Struthio camelus: one gene and its partner. Each later gene encodes a partner of the first gene's protein in a complex. Links are inferred from orthologs where the notes say so. Each region holds a gene or a part of one and is shown on either strand. Other genes may lie near its edges.

Region 1 (15,330 bases):
TGTGCTTTTTTTTTATATTCACCATTGTCTACACTAAAATGCCTAGCCTGAGGACCCAAGAGCCACATTTTCTTTTTCAGGTTTTGAGATACTTGATGCACTGTAAAGCAAAATATCAAAACAACCGCATAGTACATTTTTCTGTTGTTTTTCAGTGCAAACCCTTCTCTGATGACATAAAACACAGTCTTCAAACAGATGATTATCTGCAAATCCCATCATACATAATAAAAAAATCCCCAAAGCTCTAGCTGAACTTTGCAGACAAGATATTAGCATGAGTAGCACAATGGGTCACACACAGAAGCAGCTACTGGGGCTTTTTCCTAGAATACTAAATACTAAAAAAAAGTTCACCATATGTAAAGCAAAAATGCTCGTCTGTTGTATGAATCCCTTCCTTCTCATACAGAGTTTATTTAGTGGGTCTGACAACAGTCAAGCATGAAATGTACTATGCTTAAAAAATTGGGTGTGACTGTAGACTAAAGTTACCACTCACAGATATTTTCTTCAGAGTTCAGCTACCTAGCCAGTTAAATAAAATATAGAATCTAGTTAGACAAAAGCAAATAAATACGCTCCTTCTCTAACTCCAAACAGGAAGGAAAAAAAGCAGTTTTCTCCAATTCATTTGTTTAAACATCTCTTCACAAGTGCAATACATGAGTCATTGCTCTAGCAAACTTTAATGTGACTCAGTACAAGAGTTACATTTTATAGTGAATGTTATAATATTGGTGTTCAATGCCAGTGGTTTGAAATGCAACCTGAATTTGTCCCTCCAAATTATCTGTAGATTCATCAAAAATATACCCGAAGAAAAGACTTTTGTATTCTGTTACCCTTCTGGCCTTAAAGACTGTGGCAAAGAAAATGCTTGTGAATGCCAACACCTTTGGAAAGTAAAATGCTGGCCCACCAAAATAAGTAATATTGTTATATTTCGCAGAATCACAGAATAGTTGGGGTTGGAAGGGACCTCTGGAGATCATCTGGGTCCAAAACGCCTGATAAGGAAGGGGCAGCTAGAGCACGTTGCCCAGGACCGTGCCCAGACATGTTTTGAGTATCTCCGTGGATGGAGGCTCCACAACCTCTCCAGGCAACCCATTCCAGTGTTCAACCCCCCTCGCAGTGAAGAAGTGTTTTCTTATGCTCAGATGCAATTTCCTGTGTTTCAATTTGTTTAAATACTTGTCAAATGAAAATGTGCTGAATCAAAGAAAAAATAGATCAGCTGGAGAATCTGTCAAGAGATTCCCCAGATAAAGAGGAAAGCACATGACTCTCAGTATTTACTCCATAAGCTGCGGAAAAAGCAGTGCTATTACAGAGAAAAATGTGTTTTCCAAAGGAGAGGCACAATTTTTCCAGTTGTACTATTTAGAGGTGCAAACCCATAGCTCCAGTTATTAAAGAACTACAGCTGGCTTGGAAGACAGCAGGAAAAATAACTGCAAACTCTCCTTTTTCTACTACATTTTCCTCTTGGAGGCTGGGGACAGGATCATATTCATTTTTCACACATTCCCTTCCCACAGAGAACGTCCTGTGAAAGGATCCAACATCCAGCACAGATGACTGCAAAGGCAAGGAAAAGGTGCTCAGCAATCACACACAAAGACAACACATAAAGCCACCCACAAAAACGATGCTGAGAACATCATGGTACCTCAGCTATATGTAACATTGGAATACTGTGAAATGTCTCTAGCTTTGCACTTAAAATTTTACTGTAACGCGTTTCATAACTGGAGAAGCCGTAACACACTGCAGACGGAAAAAAACGTGCATTTAACAGATTCCAGTAAATATAATAACACTCTTCCTGAACAATCTTGCAATTTGTATCCTAACTCAATTGCACATTTTCTAGTGGTCCTATGCAGCATTTTGATAGATGTTTGGAGTTTTTCCTTCAGAGATCTGTGCAGATTTTAGTATAGGTACTGCTAACAGCAAGCATACATGTGATGCACAAACGATAGGACGGTGTCTCCTGGCCAAAAGTCTTGTGATTTTGAAATAAAACAGGACAAGAGAACGTGCTAAATACCAGGAGGGAAAACGGTCAGATCGCTTTGCTCAGAGGCTACACAGACGGGTTACTTTATGACTTGACTTCATTAGACAAAGCTTTTTTATTCTTTTATATTCAAGGAAACCATCATCACAAATAGATAACAGCCTTGTTATACAACACTTACAATCTGCAGGGGAAAGGAATTAATTCAGCTATGCTGTTTTAGGTACATTAGCTTTGGTGCGACTAGAAACGTGTTATTCAGATTGCACAGAGCGTTATTAAGATGTATTTGAAGAAACTACATCAAAAACAGAATTTCTAGAAACAGTACAAACAGGCTGAGTTTCCTCATAAAAACATTACTAACAATATCATAACTGACAAGATCATGGTGACTTTGCCCTAATAAGGATGGTCTGTCAACTCATTTTTTTTATTCCTAAGAAGTGTAAAGATGCATTAAAAAAAAAAAAGTTCCATTCAATGAGTCAAGTTCAACATCCCTTTGTCCCCCAACATGACACACAGCCTTCCTAGGTAGATCATTTAATAAAATTGTGACACTTAAAAACTCCCACACTGTATCTGAATAGTTTCACAAATTTTTCCGTTATGCTGTCGCCACACTGACGAAATAGGAAGTACTGGTAGGCAGCAGTTGCAAGGGAGCTATTTTTAAAAAACTCTTCCTAATAAATAATCCTTTCTATGAATGTTACTTTATCGGCTCTTACTGCATCCTGCATTCTTATAGCTCACTGATCCTACATACTACAGGATCTAGCTGTACAGTTTTTCTCTTAAGACTCTTTTTAGGAAACACATAACAAACTGGTTATAGCCAAGCTGTTGGTTTAGGCCATTTACCAAATGTATTTACCAAACATTTATTTTTACAAGAAGCTGTGACTTGGTTTGCACAAATACAGGAGTAAACTAGTGAAGAGCAACAGTATTTTTCTGGTCAGGAATTTGTCATATCATTTTTCTAGTCAGGAATTTCCATTTTTCAGTCAGGAATTTGCACAGGTGCTGAAATAAGTTCTTCTGCCTCAGCAGTTTGAATAAACCTGTGGAATCTGCTTGACGCATTTTAACTAAGGAAAATATGTAGGTAGTAGGGTCTTCCAAAAAGGACTCTGAAGTCTTGAGTTCACAAGTGATTGTATCAGTGACTACAGTCTCTACTCTCTTAACAGGGGAAAAGAACAGTTGGCAACAGCAACGCTGAAGTTATCATCACTGCTGACCGCTTCACTAACAAACGGAATAGTTCAGTTCCCCTGCAATTATTGGTTCAGCTCTCAACAAACTCACATAAACAGGGTGAACTAACCAAAACCCTCAAATATAACTGTTAAGATTTTTAAATCTTAAATACTAGAGAATAACTTGAGACATACAGCCAGTGCACATCACTTCTTACAATGTGGAATTTAAGCAACATATTTTCTGGAGTTATCCAGCTTTCAACAGTAATTTGTTAAAATTACTACTTTGAACAGCATTTGGACATTTCCCTTCAAATGGCAATTTCTTTTTACACGTTCCTTGTCCTCTTTAATTTTGTTCATAAATATGGAAAAGATGAAAATATGGGAATTTTATTCTTTTCACTGTTTTCTGGGAAACAGCAATTGAGATTTAATTTTTTATTTTGTCACACTATGTAATTTACAGCTAAAACCTACTGATTAATTAGCGCTAAATGCATTACTCATTTCAGGTTTATTTCAGTTTGTGCCACCACATTTTCAAAATTAGTGAAGATATATACCTACATATAGTAAGTATATCTCTCCGAAAAAATCATAACCGAGTTGATTACACATTTCTGTAGTATTTTTGTTCAATCAGGAACTTCAAACAGATTTGAAAGTATACAATCCATTTTCAGTTCTAAGTGCCATAAAATTCAGCTTGTTATATCAGGACCATCTAACTGAACATGTAATTAGTCAGGTGACAGATTTACTCCAGATGGATGCATTGTATAACAGCATATACTTCATAGTATAATCCAAAGGAAATTCTTCCACAGAAGTATAAAGGAAAACATTCCGGAGACTTAAACGCTATCCTTGGCAAGAATGACTAAAATTATAATATGTAACCAAAAAAAAAAGTCTCTGCTAAAATAGAAAATGAGAGTTTGCGCTGTATGGATCTGAATGGACTAAAACTTCTTCCTTTAGGTTGTTTTATTTTTTTCTTTTAGGAAAGAAAGGAGAGAGGACACACACGTCATTAAAATGTTTAACATTTTTTTGATGGTGTATGCTTTTAAAAAAAATCTAACGATTTGTAAACTGCATCAGAAAAAAGTGTTCTCCCATCTTAGTCTCAACACTTTTTCTCGGAAAGAGAGACAAACCTTTATGGATTTCGCAGCAATGCCTGTGTAACTTCCTAGCCTCTGATCCTTCCATTATCCCATGAGACATCAGGACCTGCAAGAACCGTCGATGACCATCAGTCATCTGAACTGCCATTGCAATATTCCACCAGGCTTCAAATGCTGAAAAGAGGGTAAACTAGAATTAATACACATGTTCATGCAAGTTAAAAATATAAACTCCAAATCTATATAAGATTTTCAATTTCTAATTTAAAAAAAAAAAAAAAGAACAAATCAGTGAGCTAAAAAATTGAATCAGGGTAAAGACCAGAAGATCCCCCAGCTTGATCTCCAAAGACAGACATTGACTAGCTGCAAGGCTCTATGAGAAGAATGCAAAAGACAAACTCTAACTGATTTGACCTAACGCTTTCAGTTACAGAATAAAATAACGTAGACATTGTGCCATCATACCCCCCCAAAACAAAATAATACTGTTACATCTATTACAGTCAACAGAACATCTTCCACAGTTTTGTGTTAAATACTTCTGTTTAGTACATACCCAAATAACTTGTCTAATAATTACAGCGTAACTTACTTTGGACAGAAAATCCTCCCCTATATGTTGTGAAGAACGTCAGAACTAAATAAAAGCATTTCAAGAAATTCTTTGACCACTCCAGCCAAATAATCCCAAAAGATGTAAGAAGCTTCCACAGTCCTCCAAATCAAAGGACCAACTAAAGGACCAAATGGAGAAACACAGTTTTGTGCCAAGATTTTGAAATCTCACGCTTTCACTGCGCGCTGGAGGCAGATTTCTGTTTCTAACAAGGACTACAAAGAGTCGGGGAAGGTGCTTGGAGGATCAGAGTGTGACACGCTGCTCTTCAGCGCTCCCACCTTTCTAGATGTAAATACCCAGGGGCTTCCCAAGCTCTGGAGATTACTGTTATGCAGGAGGTACCAACGCAGGCTTGATGTTAGTTAAAATACCCTGGGAAGCAGCTAGAAGGAAAACATCATAAGTTTTACTTAATTCACTGGCAACTTTCTTTCAAAGACAAAACTCACACACCTACCAACAGTCCCCGCTCGGAGCCAGGAGCGCTGCAGCCTCCGCGGCAGCAACACGCTGGAGAGCTGGGGGAGCCGGGGGGAGCTCAGGGGAGTGGGGGGGGGAACTAGGGAGGGGGAGCCGGGGGGGGGACTAGGGAGGGGGAGCCGGGGGGGGGGAACTAGGGAGGGGGAGCCGGGGGGGGGGGAACTAGGGAGGGGGAGCCGGGGGGGGGGGGAACTAGGGAGGGGGAGCCGGGGGGGGGGAACTAGGGAGGGGGAGCCGGGGGGGGGGGGAACTAGGGAGGGGGAGCCGGGGGGGGGGAACTAGGGAGGGGGAGCCGGGGGGGGGGAACTAGGGAGGGGGAGCCGGGGGGGGGAACTAGGGAGGGGGAGCCGGGGGGGGGGGAACTAGGGAGGGGGAGCCGGGGGGGGGGAACTAGGGAGGGGGAGCCGGGGGGGGGGAACTAGGGAGGGGGAGCCGGGGGGGGGGAACTAGGGAGGGGGAGCCGGGGGGGGGGAACTAGGGAGGGGGAGCCGGGGGGGGGGGAGCCGGAGGGGGAACTAGGGAGAGGGAGTTGGGGGGGAACTAGGGGGAGCCGGGGGGAGCTCGGGGGGGGGCCGGGGGGGGCCGGGGGGGGCCGGGGGGGGGCCGGGGGGAGCTCGGGGGGGGGGGAGCCGAGGGGAGCTCGGCGGGGGGGAGCCGAGGGGAGCTCGGGGGAGGCCGGGGGGAGCCCGGGGACCTCGCGCACGGAGGCCTGGTGCTTCCCCCCGCGAAAAAACTTCGCAAAAACCGCCCCCGCCCCGCCCCCACGCCACACCGCCCGCGCCGCCGCCCCCGCCGCCCCCCCCCAACGGCTCCCCGCCGCCCCCACGGCCACATCGCCGCCCCGGCCCCGGCCCCGCCGCCCCACGGCCATACCGCCGCCCCCACCTCACCCCGCGGGCCTGCGGCGCCGCGACCCTCCCGCACTCGACGATTCGGTGATCGCGGCAGCCGCCTGCCATCGACCGACTCGGCCACCGCCCAGGACTGCCCGCCCCGCCCCCTGGCGCAGAGGCCCCGCCCCCCGAGCGCCGCGCTGGGGCGGGGGCGGGGCCGGATCCGGGCGGCGGCCGCAATCGCCAGCGCGGCCAGAGGGCGTCGGGGGTCGCGTCAGCGTCCGGTGGGACCGGCTTGAGCCGCCTCGGCCGCCGCCGGCCGCGCACGGCTCCGCGCGCCCCGGCCGCCTGCGCGCCCCGGCCCGCGGCAGGACGCTGTCGCCGCGCCGGGCTGCCCGCGGCGGGAGCCGCCTGGGACGAGTGAGTTTCAGCGGCCGCGTCGCGTGGGTCGGGCCGGGCGGGGGGCGGCGGCGGCGGCGGCGGCGGTGGTGGCGGTGGTGGCGGTGGTGGTGGCGGCGGCGGGGGGGCCGGGGCCGGGCCGGGCGGGGGGCGGCGGTGGCGGCGGTGGCGGGGGGGCCGGGCCGGGCCGGGCCGGGGCGGTGGCGGGGGGGCCGGGCCGGGGCGGCGGGGGCCCGTTCGCCGGTGTGGGAACCGAAGCGCTTCTCCTTCTCTTCCCGCTGCGGCCCCGCTCGCCGGGGGCGGGAGGCGCGAGCGCGCGGGAGCGCCGAGGCTGCCGCCCCCCGCCGGTGGGGTCACGCTCCGAGCCCCGGCCTCCTCCCTTAAAAACTTCTCCCAGCGCGCGCCGTGCCGGGCGGAGGTCGCTTTGTGACAGACGGAGCTTGCGTTTCTGAACCTCTGGCTCTGGGCGGCTGTTCCAGTCGCTGTAGTCCAGGCCCTTTGCGGACCGGCCTTTTTTCGAGATGTTCAAATTCAGCAGTTTCTGTAGGTTCTATTGGGTCTAAGTTAGAAAATCTCTGAAGTTATCTGGCTGCTGGCAGGCCATGATTTTGCAGTTTGGCAAACTCTGTGAAAGTACTGTATTCATTATAGGCCCAAACAGCACGTCATTATGCCTTTTGCTTTCTTCCATCATCTCAACAGGGAATATATTCAAATACAGACACTCCAGCTTAAGTCATAAATGCAAACTGACAAGTTTCAAGCTGTCTAGGGAGAACTCATCCATGCATTTTGAGAGGCTGTTCTCTCGCTTACAAGGCAGGCTTTATCCAGATGTGCACTGTGCTGGAAATGCAGATCTCGTTTGTATGCCTCTGAACTTGCACTGGATAGGGAGTGTAAAATGTCATTAACAGTAAGCACCCCAAACTAGATGGAGGACTTTATGCAATGAGGATGGCATTAAAATATTAGTGCAGTTATTCACTTATAAAATAAAAGATCTCTTGTTCCTTTAAAATTTGTCATTTTGAAATGAAATTCTTTCCGTAGCCATGTAGTAATATGTGTACGTTGAGATAAAAAACAGGACCCTATGAGATAAAAAACAGGACAAAGCCTCCCCTCTAAAGAGTCCCTAATCTAAGGGCCTGATTCTGGGTCTGATTTTCTGCTACTCCACCCTTTCCAACCCAGCAGTCAAGGCAAGTAGAGACAGCGCTAACACAGTGCCATATTAATCAGATGGTAAAGAAGCATGAAAAAGGAGCATAAGGGAATAGTTTTCTGTTTAGTTTAGATAATGCCAAGTGGGACCTGTTAAATTTAATCATTTGGCCCTTTGTTCACCAGTGTTGCCATCCTTCCTTACCAAAACTCCAAAGTATCTTCTAGCTTCGCCTTCATCAAAACTTCCTCCTTTATGCACCGTACAAGACTCTCTCCTTAGTGTCCAATTTCTTCTGAAAACTTAATTGGGCTTATTCTAAGACACCCACGCTTCTTACAGTAGGTATACCTTGTGTGGTTGCCTCTGACAGTCATATTGCATATCAGAGTAGGTTTTATGAGATATATTCCTGTAGGTCTACCATTTTGTGTTGGCACTTAGGAAAAAAATCAATAAAAATAGTAGTGATAATACAGGAGAAAAATTATCTCCTAGCTTTTTTCTTTTCAAATGTTGATATAAAATCAGTTGACTAATAATGCAATCATGCTTTGTTTTGTACTGCTTATCTGATTTTAGTCTGCAGTTATAGCAGATTTTTTAAATCCAGAAGAATAAGACAAGTTGTTCTTTAAAATTAAAATCCCAGTTTTGAAACGGTAAGTGGTCCTCTAACTGCACAATTTCAGCAAAGGTAGATTAAGGAATTTTAGGTAAAAGTAACCATCATTTGTCTTTTGTGCATGAGTTACCCTTTGAGCATAACAGTTTTGCAGATTATATCTGTAGATTAACTGTGACCCAAATTTATTTAAAAGTCTAGGCTAGAAAATATTTTTTTTCCTCAAGATTAAATGAAATCTGTTCAATTACATCTTTATTTTTTTTAAAAGATAGGAATAATCAGGTGATTTAAGCATATGACTTGGGCCAGTAATCACATAGAGCTACTTGATGGATTGCTTTCATAGATTTGGGAAAGTCACGTAGGCTTTCGGTGCTTTATTTTTTTTTTCAAACATGCAGTGTTACATTAATAATTCTTGGGATTACCAGGTTACTGAGAACTTAATATTCTGTATATCTTATATACTTTATTAAGTTTAATATATATACTTATACACTGTATTAAGCATGTTTATATAACATTTATATACTTATGTACTTTAAGTTTAAAAGTTTAATATTTCATTATTCAATATTAAGAAAAACTTAAGACCCTACAGGTGGGAAAGCTATTGTCATTTTTAAATTTTCTCCCTAACCCTTGGTATTGGTTTTATAATCCACTACTCTTATTTTAAAAAAAAAAAAAAAAGTTTGCTTTTCATTAGAGCTGTGGATTAAATCCACTTTCATCCAACTGTCCCAAACTACTTTTTTCATACGGGAGATAGATTTTTGCTCTGTAGTCTGCTGATTCATACATGCTTTTGTGATATAGGTTTATTTGGCAAAAGTTTTCAGAATTTCTTGGAACTGCAGTCATGAGACACTATTTCTCAGCAATGGACTTGAAAAGCAAGCATTTCCTCTCTTGAGAATGCCAGTAAAAAAGAGGAGGAGAAAGATTTTGTTTGCTGGAGCACTTTGCTCCTTTTTTTTTCTTTTTCCCTAAGCTGCAAAAAGGCATTTGTGTTCTTTTCAAAAATTTTATTAGTGTGCTCAATCACATTTTGTCTGTTCCAAAAGTGAAAAACTCAGCTTTTGAGTAATAGTTTTCCTGAGTGTTTATGAGAAATTCATTGTTAAAGTATGCCTTTTGATGAGCAGTAACTGCTTCCTGTAAGGTCCCAAAACAGTTTCCTTTCTAATCTATTTGCACTCACAATTTTCTTATTTCTAAAATAATTGTTTATTATTTCTTAGCTTCTAAGGTTGAAATTTTCCATGTTTAATCTTTAGAAGCTTATTTTAAAGAACGGTCAATCATGTGTGTGAGAATAGAAGAAATAAGTGGCAATTTGGATAACGAGGTTTGGAGCAGAGTCTGACTTATGCTGAAGTAAAGATACACTATAAAAGAAGTGCTAGTTCTGTTAAATGTATTGTAGAAATTAAGATTCTATTGCTACGTTTTGTTTTAATTCATGTAGATAAATTAATCAATAAAAGGCATGGGCTTCTTTATTTAAAAAAAAAAAAAAAAGTAATTTTTCTGTCTGTGGCTTACTCAGCTGGGAAAGATTCCGACTGTTGTCCACACTGTGTTTATGTTAATTGACAGCAAATATTCAGCAGCTGTTCTTGAGAGTCTTGCCAGTTTTTGAGAGGTGGTATTTGAAGGAATATGGCTTCAGTAGCATGCATCTGTGGCTACATGCTCTTATGTGTATACAGTGCCCACATGCATATTTCCAAAACGGCATTAAATTCTTCCGAAGCTAATCGCTTAAGGAGTTTATACCACAACAAAATTACTGATCCCTCAGCCAATTCCTTTAGTCTGGCCATTCTCAAATCTGGTAGAAGTGTCAAGGGTTGTTCTACTTTTGTAGTTAGGTTAGTAGCAGAGGGTACTCAGCCACCAGCAACGAATATGTTTTTTTGGTTTCTTCTACCTCAAAATCTAACAGAACTTCTGCAGAAAGCCAAAAGCTTGTCTCCTACTAGAAGAGATCTTCTGAGAGTTTCTCTCCTCTTTACTCAGTCACACAAAGGGAATCGGGAAGTTCTGGAATCGCAAATACCATGCCACCTGGGAGCTCTGCAGATGTAAGCAGAGCAGCTGCAGCATGCAGGTAGTAAGTGTGAGAACACTGCGTCCAGACTCGGAGTTTAGAAAATACCAAGAGCATAAGAGGAAGGGGAAAAAAGGGTTCTGTGTCAACAGATGATGTGTTTTTGAACAAGATTTATCCCTGTTTATGCTGAATGCAAAGTCACGGTCACCCCATATTAGTGAGCATGACTATACATACAAATTTACCTAGTTATCAAATACTCACACCATATGCATTTCTAGCGATGTGCAAGCTGGTAGCCACATCTAATCCAGAATAAGATCTTCTACCAAATAGCTACTTTGTGTCTTCTTGTAAAATCTTGGAGCAAAAATGCTGTTCGGAGTTCTTAAAGGGATTATTTCATGAACTTCATAGTGAAGTTCGTTCATGAACTTCGCTATGCTTCAAGAATTGTAATATATAAAAGCTGCATAATTTTCCTTTTCTGAAGTTGTGCTGGATGGTCTCATATCATGGCTATGTATATGTTTTACAACTTCTACTTGAGTTATTGTTTTAATAAATGTGCATTCTGTTGGCATTCTGTGCAAGGGTCTTTACTCAAAACTTTTTAAAGAGGTTGGTAGTTCTCAGTATCTAGGGTAACGGTGATAAGACTGTGAAATTATATTACAGTCAACAGCTCAGGCACTTCGTGCTTAAATTACTTCATTTATCTGAGTGGAATCATATGGCTCTGATGGCATATTGACTGTTAATGAATTGTTTTGGTCCAGTGCTTACTCTTTTAATATCTTGGGTACAAACAGCATCTCTTGTGTTAGTACCTGAAAAGGGTAGGTGCACAGCAGGTGTCAATCTAATATCCTCTGTAACTAAATTTTTACAGAAGTCTTCTAACTCATTTGTATCACCCTTATTCTCCTACAGTTCTCGTTGTTCCATGAACAATCTTTAGGAGGATCAGGCACCGCAGAGGATCTTAATCCTGACATCTAGCACAGTGATGGCAAGAATCTCACGTGCTGCACTGCGTACCCTGTGGATCCTTTTCTTTTCATATGCAACAAATGAAAGTACGTTTGTCAATGTTTTCAATTGTTACACTGTAGTTGTCGACAGTACCTTACCATGAGCAGGAATAACTAGTAGATGATATTATTACTACCATTAATTGACTAGAATAAAATGCGTAACTACATGTATCAGAGATATTCATGTATTACAATAAATTCTCAAATCTTTTCTTTTTACTGACCTTTTCTGTATTAGCACTAAGAAATAGGAATTTGCAAGAAGCAGAAACAGAGGTTTGGAAAGTCATCTGTCTGCTTCCGCATTATCTAATCTATATTGGACATCTTGCTGCAAACAGGATTCTCTGCAATGACCCAGGAGCATCTCTGTAAACATCCCGTGAGGGTGGAAAGCCCACTAGTCTCGCATTTGCTTATTTTCATAACTGCCACTATCCATGGTGTGGGCCAAAAAGGAGCCATCAGCAATAGACATTGAGGGAGCTGTGCTCATAAACCGGAGGGTGAACGTATAGACCTACAGTCAAAAGGCAGCTGTCAGCGTGCGTTCTCCAAAGTGCGTAGAGTTACTAAGTTAGAAAACTTAGTTGACTGGATTTGAACAAGTTTTGCAAGCACTCACTGTAAGGCGTTGCATATTGTTACTGGTGCTATTATACAGGGACAGATGACTGACGTGTAGTGAAGAGCACGCAGGGCATCACATCTTTTGGTCTAGCAAGATGTATATTCGCATTAAGCCTTAGCGCTGCTAGTCATTTAATGGTTATTTTCTGAAGTTCACTTGGCAGGAGCTGAATATGAAAAAAAATTTTCCTGATATCTTTTCTGATATTTCATTATAATAAGAAGTTAGATTTATAAAATCTTATCTTCCAGGAACATGCCTTTATTCTCTGGGAAATCAGTTTATATTTCCTTTTCATAGTTTTTAAGTAGCTACACAATAGTCTGCTTTTTCTTTTCTCTTTTTAAGAAAAGCATACCAAAACAGTAAAAAACAAAACAAGAATAACTTATCCCTTTAAAAAAAAAAAAAAAAGGTTATTAGCTACTTCCTTATGTACTATGAGTTCAGACATGCTGCTGATGATGCTGGAGGGAATTTTGCAATTTGAATTAGAGTGATCAAGCTTTGTAAGTGCACATTGTCTGGGTCATTTGATCTAGGTGGTCCTAGATTTTCTATAAATTATCAAGGTTTATAATTTCACAGATTTCTTTTTCCTGGTTTCAATTTTTTAAGTTTCTTCATCACGTTATTCTTGCTGAGGATGAAAAAAGAAGTCCAGTATTTCAGTTCCCTTTTTCAAGTACATGAACTGAAAACAAACTTTGTACTGCATGTGGTTTCAAAAGGAAATTTTCAAATATCTGAGGTTTACAAAAATGTCATACCAGAGATGGAAAAGGGAAAAGGTCACAGGAAAAGAATACAGAGAATAATTTACAATGCAGGAAAGACATGAGGACACTAAAAGGCAAGATAAAACTGCAAGTCCTTATAGCTTAGCACACCAGGAAGAGCTTCATTATAATTCAAGGGGTGTTGAAAGTGTAAGATCATTAACACACGGAAAAATAGTAAAGTCCATCTTTAAAGGGCTTTAAAGTAGTTCTTTTAAAAGTCCATCTTCAAGTGGAAAAATAATAAAAATGAACGGTAAAAATATAAATAGCAACACAAAAATAAACAACAGTAACAAGATAAATAGATAACAGTTCTTTTAAAATAAATGAGCCGTGTGGCTATTAGAGTATTGCAGAAGTTAAAGATTAAACTTGCTGTTCTTCTGATGGTTTTTCTTTTTTTGTTGTTTTTTTGAAGGATCACAGGAGTGCAGGACAAAAGGGAACTAAATGTGGTGCTGTCATTCAGGAAGTAATTAAGAGTGCTTGTTTTTACCTACAAGATCAATATCTATCCTTAGCAGCTAAAATAGAACAAGACACTGTTTACATATGTGAACAATAATGAAACTGTGAGCTACAGGTACTTCTAGGTTTATAGCCAGCCAATATACCGGAAAAATTAGATTATGATTCTTACAGAACTTTAAAATGATTCCTTGAAATTGCGCTACATTTTCATTGGCGTAAATGAGCCCCACTAAGTTTATTGAGATTACTCAAGTGATCCAGGGTTGCTTGGTAATCGAGTTTTGTGGGAGGCCTTTTAAAAAGAGAAGTGAAAGTGATAGGTGGTAGTACCAAAGAGACAGTATTAAACAATAAACTCTTTGGATCAGTTTTCTAATGAAGTTACACTAGGCCTGGTGGTAGATCCAATTGTATTTAACACGTCATTATGACCAGCATGTTTATCTACAGATGCAGATATCAAAGTATGCAGAAGTTATTTTAGGAAAAAAAAAGATACAAAGGGACCACAGAAAAAGAATAGTAGGAATAGTGAAACATGGTATTTTTGACAATAAAAATTCTTGCATGGGAGGAATAATCTGAAATATGGACGCTCATTGGGATGAAGACGACTGCAAAGCCCCAGTGGCTAAAGGATGTGAATCAGTGGCAAATTAGTCTTGAATTTGCAATATAAATGACAAGAATGAAGTTAGTGATGTGCTGGGCTGTGTGAACTGAATTATTTGCTTACTATACAGAAATGAAAGCATGTCTTTATATGGCCCTTATATAACTGCAGGAGGAATACTTCTAGCAGAATCTCTTAGGACACTCACATTCAGAAAAATATCAATAAATAGGATGCTAACAACCAACCAAAGCTATTATAAATTTTTGTGGGGAACTGAGATGTAGAGCAGGAGAGAAATAATTAGAGCTGCAAGAAAAGGGAGATACTGTAAATATTTACAAATATCTGAAAGGTCAAACGCTGAAGAAGGGAAAGAACTATCCAGCAAGATAAAAGTATTATTTCTGACAGCTTTATTTAGAAATGATCACATTTCAGTACCACAGGTTTGGCACACTGTTAATCCTAATAGCAGCACGATCTTAATGTCACATAACTGCTTCTGCTCCTTGTTCCACTATGCAGTGCATATTAAAACAATGGGAAAATGGGGTTGGAAGGGATACTGAGGGTTGGGTTTTCCATTTCTCTTTCCAGTTCTGTCAAAGCTGTTTTGACCAATGTTTTCTTAGTTGTTCTTAAACACTACCTGTAAAAGAGATAGCAAATGCTAATAACATTGGAGTACAAGGATTTAGGGCTTTTCCATGCCCTCTCAATGCCCAGGACAAGGTGACTCTGAATCTGATCAGAACTCTGAATGTTATCACAAGAAAGAAAAATACAAAGCATAACGGGAAATACTGAATGAAATTAAGAAAAGCATATACTAGACAAAAATCTGTGACAGGGAGATCCTGTATGCAACAGGGAACTGCTTGAGGGAGACAGAGGGCCATTCACACAGGAGGCTTGGAACCAGAGTAGATAAAGCACAGAGATCTTGGTCTCGCTCTGTTCATCGTCTGCATTTTGTTTTTTGAACTGTGTGTATTTAACACATGGGATGATGCTGTTTTATAATTAAAAGTTGGTGTATTTTAGGTAGAGCTCATCAAAATCAGATTTTCTGTGCTTAGAAGTCTGTCTGTATTAGATGAGTTGTGCTTTTCTATTACAATATTTCTACTGCAGACCTTCTTCAAGAGCACAGAGGTGGTCTTCACCTTTCTGGAGACGTTTGCTGTCACACACCTCTTTCCGTTTACCCAGAACATGAGAAATGGCTGTG
Region 2 (15,394 bases), on another chromosome or scaffold:
GAGTACTGTGTCCAAATTTGGGTTCCTCAGTACAAGATGCGGACAAACTGGAATGAAGCAAACAGAAGGCCACCAAGACAGTTAGGAGACATACTGCATTAAGAGAGTCTGACAGAGCTGCCTTTGTTTAGGCAAAGAAGACTAAAGGGATCTAACTGCAGTCTTCCACTACCTAAAGGGCAGTTAGGGAAAAGCAGAGCCAAACTCTTCTCAGAGGTGCACAGCAAAAGGACAAGGGACAACGATCACAAGCTGCAACGAGTGAAATTCTGGCTGGATAGAAGGTTAAAAAAAAAATCATCACGAGAGTGATTAAGCACAGGCACAAGTGCCCAAAGAAGCTGTAGAATCTCCATTTTGGGTATTTTCAAAACTCACATATTTTCAAAGCTTGACTGGACAAGGCCCTAAGCAACCTGACTGAACTTTAAAATTGGCCCTGCTTTGAACAGAAGGCTGAACACATCCACACATAGCTTCCAACCTACGTTTTCCTATGGTTCACTTCATCAGGATGGTATCAGAATACAGTTGATTTAAGCATTTAAAAGGAAAATCGATATTTGCAAAGGGTAGTTCTCCATGCTGATCCAGGAGCTTTGACTCAGTTTACTTCACTCCGAACAAAGTGTAATTTCCCCAGAAGACAATCTATTCTACCTTTAGAACACTACAGCAAGCTTTGTCGAAAACAAGATAAATTGTTTCTATAGCATTAAATCCAGGGTGCAGTTTAAAAATAGAATTAACACTTACCCAATTATCTGGAAAGTATTTATCCACTATCTCTCTCATTTTTGCTTGCTGAGTGTGAAGAATGGAAGGGTCAAAATACAGTATCACATAGAGCATAGCAGCCTGAGTAGCCAGGGCAGTGCTGCGGTGTTCTGGTAATGGATATGCAGAAACCTAGGAAAAAGGAACAAAACAAGACATAAAATAATGCAACAATCCATTGCAAATATTATGGGGCACATTAAAAAGTACAATACATGGATACTAGAAGGCTATCTTATTTGTCACATATAAGTGTGTCCAGCTTACCTATGCAACACATTTACCACATTTATCTACAGAATATAAAACTTGACTGTAGCCATCTGCTAAATTTAATAGGCTAATATGATTATGCGGTAAATGAGTCAAAGGAAGGTTGAATCAAAGAGCTTCAGATAGACTGAAAGGACTGCTCCTGCTGAAAGGACAAATAGATATTTCTGAAGGACTGGGTATATTGTAGCTCATCTCAAACAGAAATGAGGACTAACTAACATAATCCAAGTAAAAGGCAAATAGGATACAGATCATTTAGTTAATCACAAATCACAGGCACCAGCAAGGTCAATAAGATTAAAATTATTAGGGGAAATTTCATTTTTAAAAACGTACATCGGATAACATAGTCAGGGACCTTCATATAACACAAAAGTTGGCATCAAAATCATATTCAACGAGACATAATGATCTGTCAGTAGGAAAGCTGTTCTCCACTTTTGTTTAGTAACACTCTGTTTTCCTGTAAATTTTTCTGGTTACTTTATTAAGTGAATTGTTCAGACTAATAATAATAAAAAAAAAAAAAAAAGATAGGAGGCTGCTGCCTACTGTCATCAAGAATAAGCTGCAAGTATCAAAGGAAATAACACCTTACAGACATAAGATACTTCAGTAAAATAAGCTGCATTTAATCTGTGTTTAGCTGAAGATTTCTACTTCGATCTAACTTTTTCTGCTACAATTGGGAAAAGTATATTAACTATAATTGTGCTTCGTATAGAAGCTTTGATTGACGTTTTTAATTATCAATTGTAAGCAGTACAAAACAGAGATCACAGGTTGTACTATCTTAATCTGAAGGCACACAAGCTTATTTTAATAAAGAAAACAGGTAATTTTGACTAAAAGTGTTGAAAGACTTGAGTAAGATTTGTAGATTAAGAAGTACTTTAAAAGAGCACTCTAACACTTCGCTATTCCTTATCAGTACCATACATTATGTCATAAAATTAGCTTCTTCACAACTTGCCAAAAAAGTTTTCATTTTTTGTTTGCAGAACTTTTTGCACAGCTTAAAAAATTATTACCATAAACATGGTACAGTGTCTACAGAAGCACTTTTCCTCGTATAAGTTAACATGTCTGTCTATAGTTTGAAAGTGTTTTCGATAGGGTCCTTTTAAATTAATGCTCTTGCATTTGTTTATTTCTTACGTGATTCACTGATCTTGAGATGCTGTTTTTTTAGCGTCTGTAAATGTTTTCAGCTATCCAGGCTTCACTAGAGGTGTGCCATTAATTATAGAAATAAGATCGTTTGGGCCACCCTAAAGAAAGAACCCTGCTCAAAAGTAAATGCTTTGTTGAAGCTCATTTCCAAAGAGGTCATATAGAAGAGACTATAGAGTTCAAAGAGTAATCTCTGAACATACTTTCTTTCAATTTTTATTCTTTATTCATCCAATTGTCATAGATAAGAATAGTAATATTAGTGCTTCTTTTTAGTCACATTGCCTCTTAAGGGATGATCAATCTCTTTTCAGTAACTAGAACAATGAGAATCTTTGAAGGAATTGATGAGAGTTAATAAAAGTCGCCAATCATTTATTTTTTTCTAGGCTTCACAGTTGAGTAATTTACCCAAGAAACCATTTGATACTCAATTTTAGATTCCTCTTCTGTCTCACGCTAACTTACCTGGTTATAAATGTCATCTGATCGTAAGCGGCCAATAACCATGCTGATGAACGTTTCACTTATGGGTACCCTGCTGAAGTAACTCTCAGGGTAGTTTGGAGGCCTTTTAGCTCCAGGCTGGCTCGAGTACCCAGTGCTTCGAAGCAGTTTACAAATATCATCTAAATTGGAATCAGCAGAGGATCGGGCTGCGCTGTTTTCAAAAAGGAAAAAAAAATTAAGCTGTACGACCTGACTATTTCCTCCTCTCCTTTTCCTCCTAACCCTGCCTTTGTCTCCAAGAAAGTAATCAGATAGTAAGGTTTGGGAGACTTTTGTATGCTTACTTCCTGAACATAATTTTCACCATATTACAGAAGGACACTGACAAGTGCCCATACTGGAATCCCGGATAAGCGTACAAAACACAAACAAACAAATCCAAGAAAACGTTGTTCAGGGACAGAAACGACTACAGTTGCATTCAGAAGAGGTTCATTTGTCCATGCCCCACCTTTTCTGAATTCCCCTTCTTGCTCCATTCCTGTATTTCAGAGTTAAGGAATCCTTTGTCATTACACACTTGACAGCCATAAGCACAGCCAAAACACGTACAGGGTGCTCCCTTTTTTAGTTGCATTATTTGTGAAAGAGTTTGCACCGATATTCTCGGCGATTCTAGCTGTGATAAAGCAGTGCTGACAGCCTGCCCTGGAAATCTCGTTATCAGTTTGACTAATCAAGCTCTCTGACTACAAGAGGTTTGACTGTCTAGATGCTCGGGACTTTTCAGAGATTTGCTCCAACATTTGGGAATATCTGATGCTTTCAAAGCAGATACTTGTAGCTTCATGCGAAAGTTTATTTGTCAGTGGCTTTCAAATCTCTGTTGTGACAGCATGAGAAATCTGTGGCCCAAGTTTTGCAGCCAGATGTGCAAAAGCAGCTAATGCAAGGAGCTCTACTGACATTCAGACAATGATGCAGATTTATAAGGGTCTATCCGTATGGACCAAACGGTCAAAACGGTACCAATATTTCTGTTTATCTTAATTCAATGAGTTAACTGAACATACTGCATGTTACACTCTTTCAGCTTTTGAGTTCTTCTGAATACCAATCCACATTACCTGTATCTGTAGTAGGAAACCAACATTCTTTCTCTGACCTCTCCTTCAATCTTCTGGTCAATGACCAATAGCATGACTCCATATAAATAGAGTGCTTCACACTGTTAAGGAAAAAAACAATCAGAAAGAAATCAAATTAATGCAGTTTTGTAGCAACATCTGAAGACAAACAAGTGGTGACAAACTAACACAATGCAAACTATGTATATAGTCAATATAGTATGAAAAAATGGCAGGGCTGTAGACTTTGGGGCTTTGACTGCCTCAGATTGAGCCATAGCATTTCAATGTATGTGGTAAGTTTAAACCTTTGTCCATTCTTGAGACTAGATGTAAACAAAATAGACGCCAAAATATATCTGGAATTAAACTCGTTGGTTCATTTTCTACTATTACAAAACTCTTGAGTACTTACCAGAAGCTGTTTTCCATCTTCATTGAGGAGGACAGTTTCTAATGTTTGCTGAATGTAAATTCCTTCATTGAGGTCATCTAAATACCTAGGAATCATACCAAAAAATTGGTCATTGACTATTTTGCTCTTAAAGCATGCGTCCCCAGAAATCAACTGGCCAATTTTCACGCAAAGTCAGCAGACACGTCAATCACTCGTCCAGCGCAAGCAGCACACACAGGTTTTACACACAACAAAGAACAGATACTCTAATATGAAATGAGAGGCTGGAACTCGTAGCTAGGGTCAACCAGCTGGCAAATCCTCCTTCAATTTGCTAATGCTGTATGGGAAAGATACCGAAGGAACTCTGTAACTTAACAGCTAACAAATCAATCTCTTAACCTTCGCATGGCAGGACACAGCCTGAGAACAAAGTAGTCCTGGAAAGGAAAAGCTTTTTTTTCCTCCTTAAAATTTAGTAAAACTATCATATTCTCAGATTATCTCCAACAACAGCTACGGGAAATACCTTAAATTTATCTTAATTGCAGTTTGAAAGGCAGAGCTATAAATAAAATATTTCATCTTGATTAACAGATGATTTCTTCTTATTACAGGGTTTTCTAGTAAACTGCTTATTACCACAATGAGCTCAAGCTTTTTACCTAAAATCAACAACAAAAGCAATTCTTAGACTTCACACTCTCTTGCACCTCTTCCTTAAGGTTTTTTCATAAACCTTTCCTACCGTTTTGACAAGAGTAACAAACTTGAGACTATGGTAACTCCACTGAAAAATTAAATTTAGGAAAACAATACCAATGAAAGTTAAAGAAAAAATACTATCTGATTCTGTTCAATAATACGGAGTTTCTTTTCATTCATAAATCTTCAGGACAATCTCTCAGATAAAGAAGAATTAGCTCTAGCTTACGTTTATGGAAATAAAGTAGAGATGTTAAATGTTTTCAGGTCGTAGATTAAGCTGGTATGCAACAACAAGAGTAAAAGTTAGTGCCCAGTCCAGCAAGCCAGGTTTCCCAGTGCATACGAACACGATTCAAGGGCAAGCACTGAGTCTCCAAGGAAAAAGTTTCCAATCATTAAGATTAAACAGTACTGTAGTCTTTAAGAAACTCTAAATATCATTAAAAAACTATACCTGTTTAAATCTACAATGTATTTATGAACACTCTGAAAAGCTAGATAAAATCTTGTCAAAATTTCAATGTTGTTTTCACGAAATTCTTCATCTAAATCCAGTAACTCAGGCTTGGCTTCCAGCTTGCCTTCACACGCCTCAGGCCCCTAAGAAAGAAAATTCATATTTAAGAGACAATATTTGATTGTGTCTGTGACAGTCTTCAGTAGGACAAAGAATATACATGACCACTAGCATGTATGTAATGACAGAATTAACTGTTATTACTAAAATAAGGCACCTGCAGTTTTCCAAGCTACTTCATGATTAAACGGTGATCCCATAATGATGAATTCTACATTTTGCTACAATCTATGATTATCAATACGATAACACTTTGGGTAAAATTCTGACGCATCTGAAACCACCATGTGCTTTACCACGGACTCTTTTTAATGGCAGCTATCTCCTTTCTGGAACTTTTTCCTTTACACATTTGATCTGTTTGATTTCTCAAACAGAATCCAGAACATGAAGGCCTCACAGATAAGTTGTCAGCTTTGTACCTTCTCATACATTTAAACTCCTTGCAAGTATTAAACCTACGTGAGAGTTTTGACAAATTCTAGACCTAGGTCTGTGCTAGTCCCCAAAACTGGCACAGAAACCGTGTAATTAACAACTGTGTGGGAACAAGGGGAGAGGAAGACGAGCCTGACTTTCTGAAAGAAATGGTTCAAACTGTTTTAACCATTTGCTGCTGTCAACTCACCACCTTTCAGTCCTATCACTAACAGTTAACTGAAACTGTTATTAAACATCATTCCACAGAACACTTACATGGCATGAGATCACGACTTAAAAGGATTTTGTGAACAGGAACTCCATAAAAATCACTTAAAATAGGCTTAAAAATTAAATGTCAAGTCTAACACCTGGCTGACAACTTCTTAGTGGTTTTAAAAATGCTCTTCTATTTCTTTTTTTCTATGAAATGGCCACGTGAAACAAAGCATAAAAGCAGGCCCCAAACTGACTATGAAGCTTAAATGCACAAAGTAAATGGACTGATTTTCAAAATCTCAAATCTCATCACCTGATTTTAAGCATCATGATTGCAGGAATGGAGTGCTCATGGTGTTAATATCTGTAAATTCATGAAAGCCTGGTTTACAAGCATGTCTTTTATTGATTTTGTTGCAATTAGGCTGAAAAGCAACAGCAGTATCTTGCTTCTTAAACATTCAGGAATCTTCCAGAATAAATGTATTTCTGGCCAGTTACAACTTGACAATGTAAGAGCAAAGAGGTATTTGTATAAAAAAGGCTTGTAAAAAAATCTACATCTAAAGGTAATTGGGAGATCACCTGTGCTCAGGATTTTCCGAGCCCAAAGTACTCAGAATTTGCAATGCAAAAAAGATCCACAAAAAAACTCCAGCCCCCTTAAATGTTGCTGAAACAGTAACGTCTCTTTTATTGTACAATCTAAATGGAGAAAGTCAAATTACATCATCTGTAGAGTTCCTTGCAAATCATGCTAGAGAATGACAGAGGGGAAAAAAGTACTGCAAGAATCTTAGTTCTGTAAGAAAAATGAGACCTTTTCACGGACGCTACTCTTTAATTTATCTGTTGATTCAGTGCTCATGGACAAGCACCATGAATGAACAATCACAGTACTGTCAAACAGGAAAGCATAAAGCCGTTTGTATGGCTGCAAAGAAAAGGCTACAGATAACCAAAGGAAGACAGGCATACTGTGCCACAGAAAAACAACCAAGTGCTTAGGCTCAGAGCTTGCTGGTGAAAATGCAATTTTAAGTTTACTCAGGAAACAGTAATTAAAACCCCCCCAAATCCAATACTCAAATGTCATATAATCAGTCTTCTTTGAAACTCAAGGCCAGATGACTCATCAAACATTTTCAAAGCTGTATCAGGGACTGCTTTTGTATGTATGTATTTAAAGCTGTCCCATTTCCTGCCCTAAAGCTCAGTGCAGGTAGTGGTTGTACTTCTATTCTGCTTAGGGAGCTAAGCACACAATCTTCACTAGTCTGCTTCTGCTCAGTGAAATAAATAAGGTCAGGCTGAGTACCATCAGAAGCGTATAAACACAAGACAGCCCAGAAGAGGAGTGCTAGTATGCGAGCACATCCCATTTAGTATCTTAGTTTGGTGCATTTTTGGTAAATACTGAGTAAACAGGAAATTATCTTAGTCAATTCCGATGAACGTTAGCAACTAACATAACAGTAACTGTTTCCACACTTGTGAGGACATTAACACCCTTAGGCTTTCGCCCTTAGTGAAACACCCTTAGGCTCACCCGGACAACGATACTTTGAAGAGAAGTTTCACAATAAAAGAAAAGGATTTACCTTAAAATAACTGAAATCGAATATGATATCCCCATACTTCTGTTGATCAGCCTTGTCCTTGAGCCTGAAAACACCAGGAATAAATTCAGAAAGTCTCAGAAGTTCTGCAATGATGGCATTTCCACAGGAGACAATCCTAAGAATGGCCTGACCACAAAGATTATTTTCAGCTAAAAAATCAACCATTGTGGAGCTGAATGTGACCGCGTAGCAACAGTCCTGCAGTCTGCTCCCGAATGTTAGTCTTCAGGTTATTTGAAGAAGAACGTCTAATGAGAAAAGTTGCTGTTCCATTAATAGTACCTGTAAAAACAAAAACATACACATTTTGAGTGTTTCATAGTTATACTTCTGATAATTTATTCTATAGGGTTTTTTAAGCACACGATTAAATCTTACGCTTTATGAAATCTAAACGCTCCATGTTTTGTCCAAATGAAAACAACAGACTGAATTTACCTTCAACATATATGCAGTTTTGGCTCAGTCACCTGTGTGATCAGGCAAGAAATAATAGTGTGATCTTTTGTACTAGAAAATTTTAAGGTAACTATTAAAGAATGAAACAATCACAAAAACTGAAGCAATTGAGGCCATGCAGCAGACGGCAGCAAGGAAAGCACAAACTAGTACGGTACAAGACGCATGTTGGAACAAGGGAGAATCCAATAGCAAATGGAAAGAACATAGCTCCACTGCTTTATTTATTGCTTAAGGGAGAGCTTTTGTACTGTGGTTGCATTTCCTGGCCACATTTTTATTTATGGGCATTTTTTGCTGAAAGATCTGGAATGCAGCATGGCTAAAAATAAGCTGCTTTTTAATTCTGAAACATTTATGGGAGGTTATGAGCTGACTTCACTTTTTTTTTTTTTATCAAAAACCTTCTAAACCACTGAGTTACATTTAAGTTGACGAGGCATTTTCCGATCCCAGTCTGTCTCAAAATGCACACCAGGAGCCTCGTCTTCCTGCTACGCATGGAGGAAAGCATCGCTAGCACAACAAGCTCTGCTCTGCAAAGTCCCGCGCAGCTCCCAGACCCAAGTGAACAGGACCGGGCTTTAATTTACATCTCATCCCCCTCCAGTAACCTGATTCATCAGGCCACAGCGTGATTTCTTGACCGAATGGGACGTTAAAAATATGGGAGAGCCTGCAGACAGCTCCTGAAGTTGCACAAAAGCCATTTCCAGCGCGGGCGAGCCTCACCGAGGAGGACAGGCCGCCGTTTTAACTCCCTTTTCGACAGGCTCCTCCGAGACGCCAACGGCCCCCCTCAATGTCTGAACCTCCCCCCCCCCCCCACCCCCGCCCTGGAGCAACGGCCGCGCCGCGAGACCAACGGCCGCCCGCGCCCTAGGAACGGCCGCGCCGCGAGACCAGCGGCCGCCCGGCCCCGCTCAGCCCCGCCGCGGGCTAAGCTCTCGCCTCCCCGCTCCGGCGCCAGCCGCGACCTCCCCGGGATGCCGCCCCCGCTCGGCGGCGCTTACCGTCCCCGCGGCTAACGCGGTGAGCGGCGGCGAAGGGCGGACGGAGGAGGCTGCTCCGCTCCGCCGGCAACGGGCGAGCGGGCGGGGACGGCGGGCGAGGCGCAGCCCTCGGCGGAGCGGCCGCGGCAGGTGAGACGCAGGCAGCGGCGAGGAGGCGGCGGCGGCGGCGGCGGCGCCCAACCCTCCCATCACATGACAGCGCGCCGTCATGTGCCGAGGCGCCGGCTGATGAGGCGGTTCCGCCGGCGGCCTGTCCCGCCTGCCCGCGGCCGAGCGCGGCTGCCGCCGTAGAGGGTCGGCGCGGGGGCCGCCTCTGAGAGGAGCCCCTTGAGGGCCGCGGCGGCTGGGACTAGGTGAGCGGCTGCGGCTGCGGAGGGGCCCGCTTCGGCCGCCCCCCCCTTCCTCCTCCTCCTCCGGCAGGGCGCGGAGTGCGAGGGAGGGCCTGCGCGGCCCTGTTCTCCGGGCAGCCTCCTGCCCGGCGGGGTGGGCCCGGGGGCCGCTGCCCCGGCCCGTGCGCGGCTGGCACGGGGCGGCTCGGCGGGTGTTGGGGCTGCGAGGCGGGCGGCTGGCAGAGCGGGGCTCCCTGCCCCCAGGGCTCTTGTCCCCAGCTCTGCGGCGGCGAAGTAGCGTCTCCGTGGCACAGTGACCGTTGTAGGAGGTAGAGATCGATACTATTAATGAGCCCTGATCAGCTGTAGATCTTGCGTTTTGTCTCCTTTTCAAAGTTTGGAAGAATAGAGCAAAGGGAAGTTAGGTCGTTTGCTCGAATCTTAAAAATTGGTGGCAAAATTGAAACTTTAACCTTTTAGGGCTTCTGCTTTGCGGTCTTCTATTTTATTGTTGAAAGAAAAAACTGACCAGCCAGTCTCACTTGGCTCTCCTTTATGAATCTTGGTTTTGCTCATTGTATTTCCCAGAAGATGAAGGGTGGGGGTTGCAAGCTTAAGTGCTTCATTGATGCACCCAGTGAAGACCTTCATGGCAAAAGAGAGTGCCTTAAAGAAACTGCTCAAAACCCTGTTCCACTGAGGAAGTTGCCCTTTCCTCTAAAGGCAGCATGAACAGCTTCCAGCTGTAAGTTACACTTGAAGAATTAACTTTAAAAAAATTGAAAAGGAAGTCTGTGCTTGGGGTCATCAACTATTTCTATCAAGTTTAAGCTTTTGTTTAAAAAAAAAGAGTCTGTCTATGGGTACTTAAATTATCTGCCAAAACACAAATTGTGATGAAGCTACCAATGTGATGGTATGATTTAGTGTTGTACGTAACTTCAGTTCCTGTATACTCGGTGTTCCCCCATGTTTCAGAAGAAGGAAGAAGCCTTTTTAACTTTTCATTGTTATTTTTTTTTCAGATTCCTGTCTTTCACAGTGTGTGTGTTTGAAATTTCCAAAAGAACAGCAGACTTGCTCAATGAATGAGATTTACCAAGTTCAAGAAGTGAATTAGGTTCTCTCTGTTAATTTTGATACACTGAATGGGCCCAGAAGGATAAAAGCGCTAATATGCATTTACGTGACTTAACAGTGTATGAAGTTTGCATTACCGAGGTTCAGTATAAACACTCTTGGTGAAATGGCAAACAGCTGCTTTAAAAAAGTAGGTTAAAAAATTTAGTGTAACAGCCTAAAGCATTTGTTATTAAATTAAGCTTTAAGAGCATCCCTTTCCATTACTTTCAAGAAGTTCTCTAAGAAACTTTTTCCTTGTCTTCTGTTATCAGATCACCAGTCTCTTAAATGGTATTTTAGATAGCAATTGCTGTATTTTGGTGGGGAGATTAGGAGAAGAGATGAGCTGGAGCTATTGAAGATTGCAGCCTCCTTTATGACAAGATGCACCTTTAGCAGCGGGGAGAGAGAGAGAGAGAGAGAGAGAGGAAAGCTGCTCATATACATTTTAGAAGTTCAAGTTGTCATGAACTTGAACAGCTGTGTTGCTAAAAGGCTGTTGTAAGCTCGTGTCCTCAGAACAGTGTCATAAAAGATAGTCTTGAGTGGCCAAGCACATTTTTTAAAGAGAAAGAAGAAAAAAATAGGGAAAAAAAAACTGTAAGAGAGGAAAGAAGGTGGCAGGAGAAATTCCAGTCTCGTAATCTGCCTGACATTCATGTGGAAGATTGCAGTGCTGTGCAGATTAGGATGAGTGTAAGACATAGTTCTGGAATCCCAGGTAAAGTAGTAAATGTGAGACAGAGCCTCGGATATAAAGTTTTGTGCTTTCTATTTAGATACTATCCTGATTTCTGTTGGATTATAGCCTGTGAAAGGGAGTAATCCATAGAATGACTCATCTCCTTGTTACTCTGCATACTAGATGCATCTAACTTGGGATGTACCCCAATTTTGGTTTTGGATTTCATTTCTCCCCTCCCCAGTATAGTCTCAATATAGTCCCTGATAATACCAGTTATTGTTTACAAGGCCTAATGCAGTATTTCTATCTATTTAAGACTTTTGTTTTTTATAATCAATTGTTTGCCTAAAGCTGACCAGAATTTTTCTAACTTCCTGCAACTTGAAGTATAAAATTCAGCATTCAACATGTGTCTTTTACTAGCTACATGTTGTCTAGGCAAATTATAGCAGAGAACAAAAAAGGAAGAGCAGAAGATGGAACTTCTGAGAAGAGACCACCGACTGATGTGGAAAGTATGATTGATTCAAGTTATAGGGACAGTGTAAGCAATGCTACTTGAAGGTCATGTTAATGACAGAGGAAAAGGAGTTAGTCCTAGCAAGGATGTTGGTCTGTAGTGGAAAGGAAGTAAAGGTGGTAAAGAGCACAGACATGAGTCTTGTGTGATTTAGTGTTCTGTTCCAATAGAATATTGGTAATATAAACTAAATTTGTGACATCTTTGATGGAAATTCTTAACATTTGTAAGGTAGGCTTTTACTTAAGAAATAGTATTAGGTAACTTTCTGCTAAATACATTCTTAGAACAGTTACCATTTATTTGATTTTTTTTTTCTTCTTTTTCTGAGGGCTGGCTGTTTGTTGAAACAGGCTTGTAATTGGGTGAGGCTCAATTTGATGGAAGAAGTCATATTCTTACTAGCCTAATTGCAAATATATCTAGAAAACAGACAAGTTTTTGGGTACTCTTTCTTTGGAGCTGAAATAGAGCAGAAACTTTCAAGCTAACATAATCCTTGAGTATTTCGGTCTCACTGTGCTATAGCAATAGGAATGAGAAGATGAAAAACTGCAAGCTGCTGTTTGTGGTGTAGTTTTGATTAGTGTTGAATAGGAGGGGGGGTTGAAATCCTCTAGTGAATCACATTTCTACTCGTGCCACTGACTGAACTTTCTCTGACATTTTGGGAGCTGAGATTTCATCCCTGTTCTCTGATGTTTGAGGAGCCCTGTTACAGCTCTGTGTTTAGCTATCTGTACTTCTGTTTTCTCTTCCAAATGCGCTGTGTGTAAACTGCATTCAGAATGTTATATCTGTTATTTCTAGACTAATGGTTTCAAGATGCCAGGGGGTGCAACAATCTCATTCAACTGTGTGGATTCTTCTCTTTCATCTTTGAAAAACTGCCAGTCTTACATTAACACTGGAATGGATATTGCTACTCGTGTTGCCCTTGACCTTGTGGAAAGTCTCAGTAAGTAATTCCTTTGAGTATATTATCTTGCTTATATTGCTTCCTGAACTTTACAGATGGGTCCTAGGCCTACGTATTTTGACTTAGTTACAGTCAATATCTACTTCATCATAGAAACAGCAGCTCTTCTGGATAGTTCAGAGTGTTACCATTCCAATCACTTCACTGTCTTAAGTGATAAATTCAGTGAAAGTATAAACACCAAGTAACATTGTCCCGGCTTTTGTAACACTTTTAAAAGACTAATTGCATTCCAGTGTTTGTTATCTTACAGCCTTGTAGAAACTTTAACAGTGCTGAAACGGATGGACAAAGCCTTTTAAGCGGGTGAATAAAATGACTTTTCGTTCTAACACTGCTACTTTGTGTGTGTTTTATTTAATGTTTAGGGCAAGATACGTTAAAATAATACTATTGATTTTGAGTACAAAAATTGAGACATGTGCAAGAGATGTAATTTTTCTGAATAGTGTCTCTTTTCCTGCTGAAAATTAGGCTGATTTAGGGTGCTTCAGTTTGGACACTTGCAAACAGAAGTACTCTAAATCTGTAATCACTTCTGACAGTCTTGTCATTGCTGTTTTACAGCAACAGGTGCATTGCAGAATTGCTTTTCAAAGACAAGTATTTGGCCTCCTATTGCTACAACTCTTGGATCTACTGTAAAGTTTTCTCTAGGAAAAAATTAAACCTTCCAAGCTCCAAAGCCCTAAATGATAGTTTTAATTATGAGTGGAGACTGAGAGTCCTCTAAAACAACATAATTGCTGTCTTGCTCTCAACTAAGCCAAACTCTATATAAAATCAGAATGAAATTTTCTGTTTGTATACTCTCTCTCTCCGACCTTTTTATCCATATTACTGTCAGAGGTAATTGATGCCCCTTTTCAAAAGTGGTAGAGGAGACGGAAAGCTTATCTAAACAGTCAGCTGGGAATTTCCTTTGCAGTAAAACTGGTATAACCAGTTCTGTTTCCTCTCTGCATTTGAAGTTACCATCTGTCCTACTTTGCCGTAAGTGATACATGGAAATTTGCTGACTGTACTGAATTCCGGTAATCCCAAGACCTCAGAATGAGCCACAGAAGGTAGTTATTGGCAACAAAAGCTAAAAGCTGTGATTAATTTCACCTTTCAGCAGAAGTCAAATCAAGTCCCTGTTGCCATTCACATTTTGAAAGGCGGAAGGCAACTCAAACTCCTCTATGAAGGTTTGCGGCTGAAGGTGTGTGCCATATGCTTCTAGATAATTTTGTTATCTTCCTCACTTACCAACTTCTGGCATATTCATTTTAATTATAACCTCCAAATTATTTTGACTTTTCAGTAACCAAATGGGCCATATTTAGTGTCCTATCAAGAGAGGAGATCACTCTTGAAATTTCTATGGTCAGTGCTAATGGCTAAGTTATTTCATAGAACTGATTTTATTTTGGCATGAGAATCTTCCTTGTGGAATCATGACTGTAAACTATGAAGCACCACATCTTTTACATAGTGTTCCCTTGATCTACAGAAAAGGTATTCCAGGCTATTATTTGTTGCGTAAAGACGTTACAGTTCCTCTCAATTTGGTCTGGTATTACCTTGTTGACGCTTTATTTAAAGTAGTTCTCTTTCACACCACCTCTGTTTTTTTCCTTGCTGATGTAAATACATGTGTACATATAACAATTCTATCACTTTTGGGGGTTTCTTTTGTTTGTTTTTTGTTTTTCTAGCCAAATGAGCAAAGCTCCCTTACCTTTCATTTTAAGGTTTGGTTTTTCACTCCACTGACCGCTTAAATGTCATCTTCATATGTTCAACTTAGAATTCAAGTTGTTTTGTTCCATATAAATGCCATCGGGAAAGATACAGGGTTTCTGTGGCAAGATCTATTTTTGCTAAACACTATATTTTTGTTTTTTATAGTGTTTTAGAATCAGGATTGTTGAATCTGCCTGACTTGACTGTTTAATTCTTACCTCCAACTCATATGTGGCAGTTTCTGTATCTGTAGAATTATTACCCATCTATTCTACTTTGCCTTCCTGTTCCAATGCAAAGTATTCATTCAATTTTGAGCCAGCCTTAGGTTATATGCTGCTGCGTTCTTGTTGCTGTCCCATTTGCAGTTTTTTCTTCTTTCTTTCAAAAGATCATCTGGCTGCTGACAGGTTTTGTTGCCAGGCTTTGTAGTAGCAAAGAATTATATTGTGATTATAAAGTAATAACTTTCTTCACCAAGCACTCTTTCTGGGAAGGTATTTGTTTCCTTTGGACTTTCTTAGGTCTGGGGTTCATATATTTGACAACTCTGCTTTTTGGGAATAATACTGAGATAAAATTTTCTCAGGAAGTACGTGAAAGAAGTTGCATTTACATCTGGAGGTAAATAGCTGGAAGGGCAGATAAAGTTAGCATAATAAGTGGTATTGGTTTCTTCTCTTAAGTGCTCTCCTCTAAGAGCTCAATCCTGAAAACTTTCAATGTTAAGCATATTTATTAAATCGTACCAAGTAGTATTGCTGGGCTGGCTACTGGTTAAGGCAGTAGCGTGGAGGTACCTCCCATAAACCT

The links.
Region 2: non-structural maintenance of chromosomes element 1 homolog (region 1) and NSMCE2 share a complex: the UniProt entries of both Homo sapiens proteins name them as parts of the SMC5-SMC6 complex. The link is inferred for Struthio camelus from reciprocal best matches to the Homo sapiens genes NSMCE1 and NSMCE2.

Annotation. Positions count from the first base shown.
Region 1 is NC_090956.1:385,702-401,031, reverse strand, and holds the start of non-structural maintenance of chromosomes element 1 homolog, read right to left. Parts: upstream 6,506-15,330; 5' UTR 6,366-6,505; exon of another isoform or gene 6,361-6,365; intron 5,550-6,360; exon of another isoform or gene 5,449-5,549; intron 5,379-5,448; 5' UTR 5,274-5,378; exon of another isoform or gene 4,969-5,273; intron 4,548-4,968; 5' UTR 4,522-4,547; coding exon 4,404-4,521; intron 1-4,403. Other genes in the region: IL4R (interleukin-4 receptor subunit alpha), read left to right, coding at 11,572-11,641. UniProt on the Homo sapiens protein: RING-type zinc finger-containing E3 ubiquitin ligase that assembles with melanoma antigen protein (MAGE) to catalyze the direct transfer of ubiquitin from E2 ubiquitin-conjugating enzyme to a specific substrate.
Region 2 is NC_090943.1:160,973,620-160,989,013, forward strand, and holds the start of NSMCE2 (E3 SUMO-protein ligase NSE2), read left to right. Parts: upstream 1-9,427; 5' UTR 9,428-9,571; intron 9,572-9,739; exon of another isoform or gene 9,740-9,876; intron 9,877-10,572; 5' UTR 10,573-10,748; coding exon 10,749-10,817; intron 10,818-12,684; coding exon 12,685-12,832; intron 12,833-15,394. Other genes in the region: WASHC5 (WASH complex subunit 5), read right to left, coding at 757-909, 2,695-2,887, 3,804-3,904, 4,219-4,303, 5,363-5,508, 7,726-7,911. UniProt on the Homo sapiens protein: E3 SUMO-protein ligase component of the SMC5-SMC6 complex, a complex involved in DNA double-strand break repair by homologous recombination. Is not be required for the stability of the complex.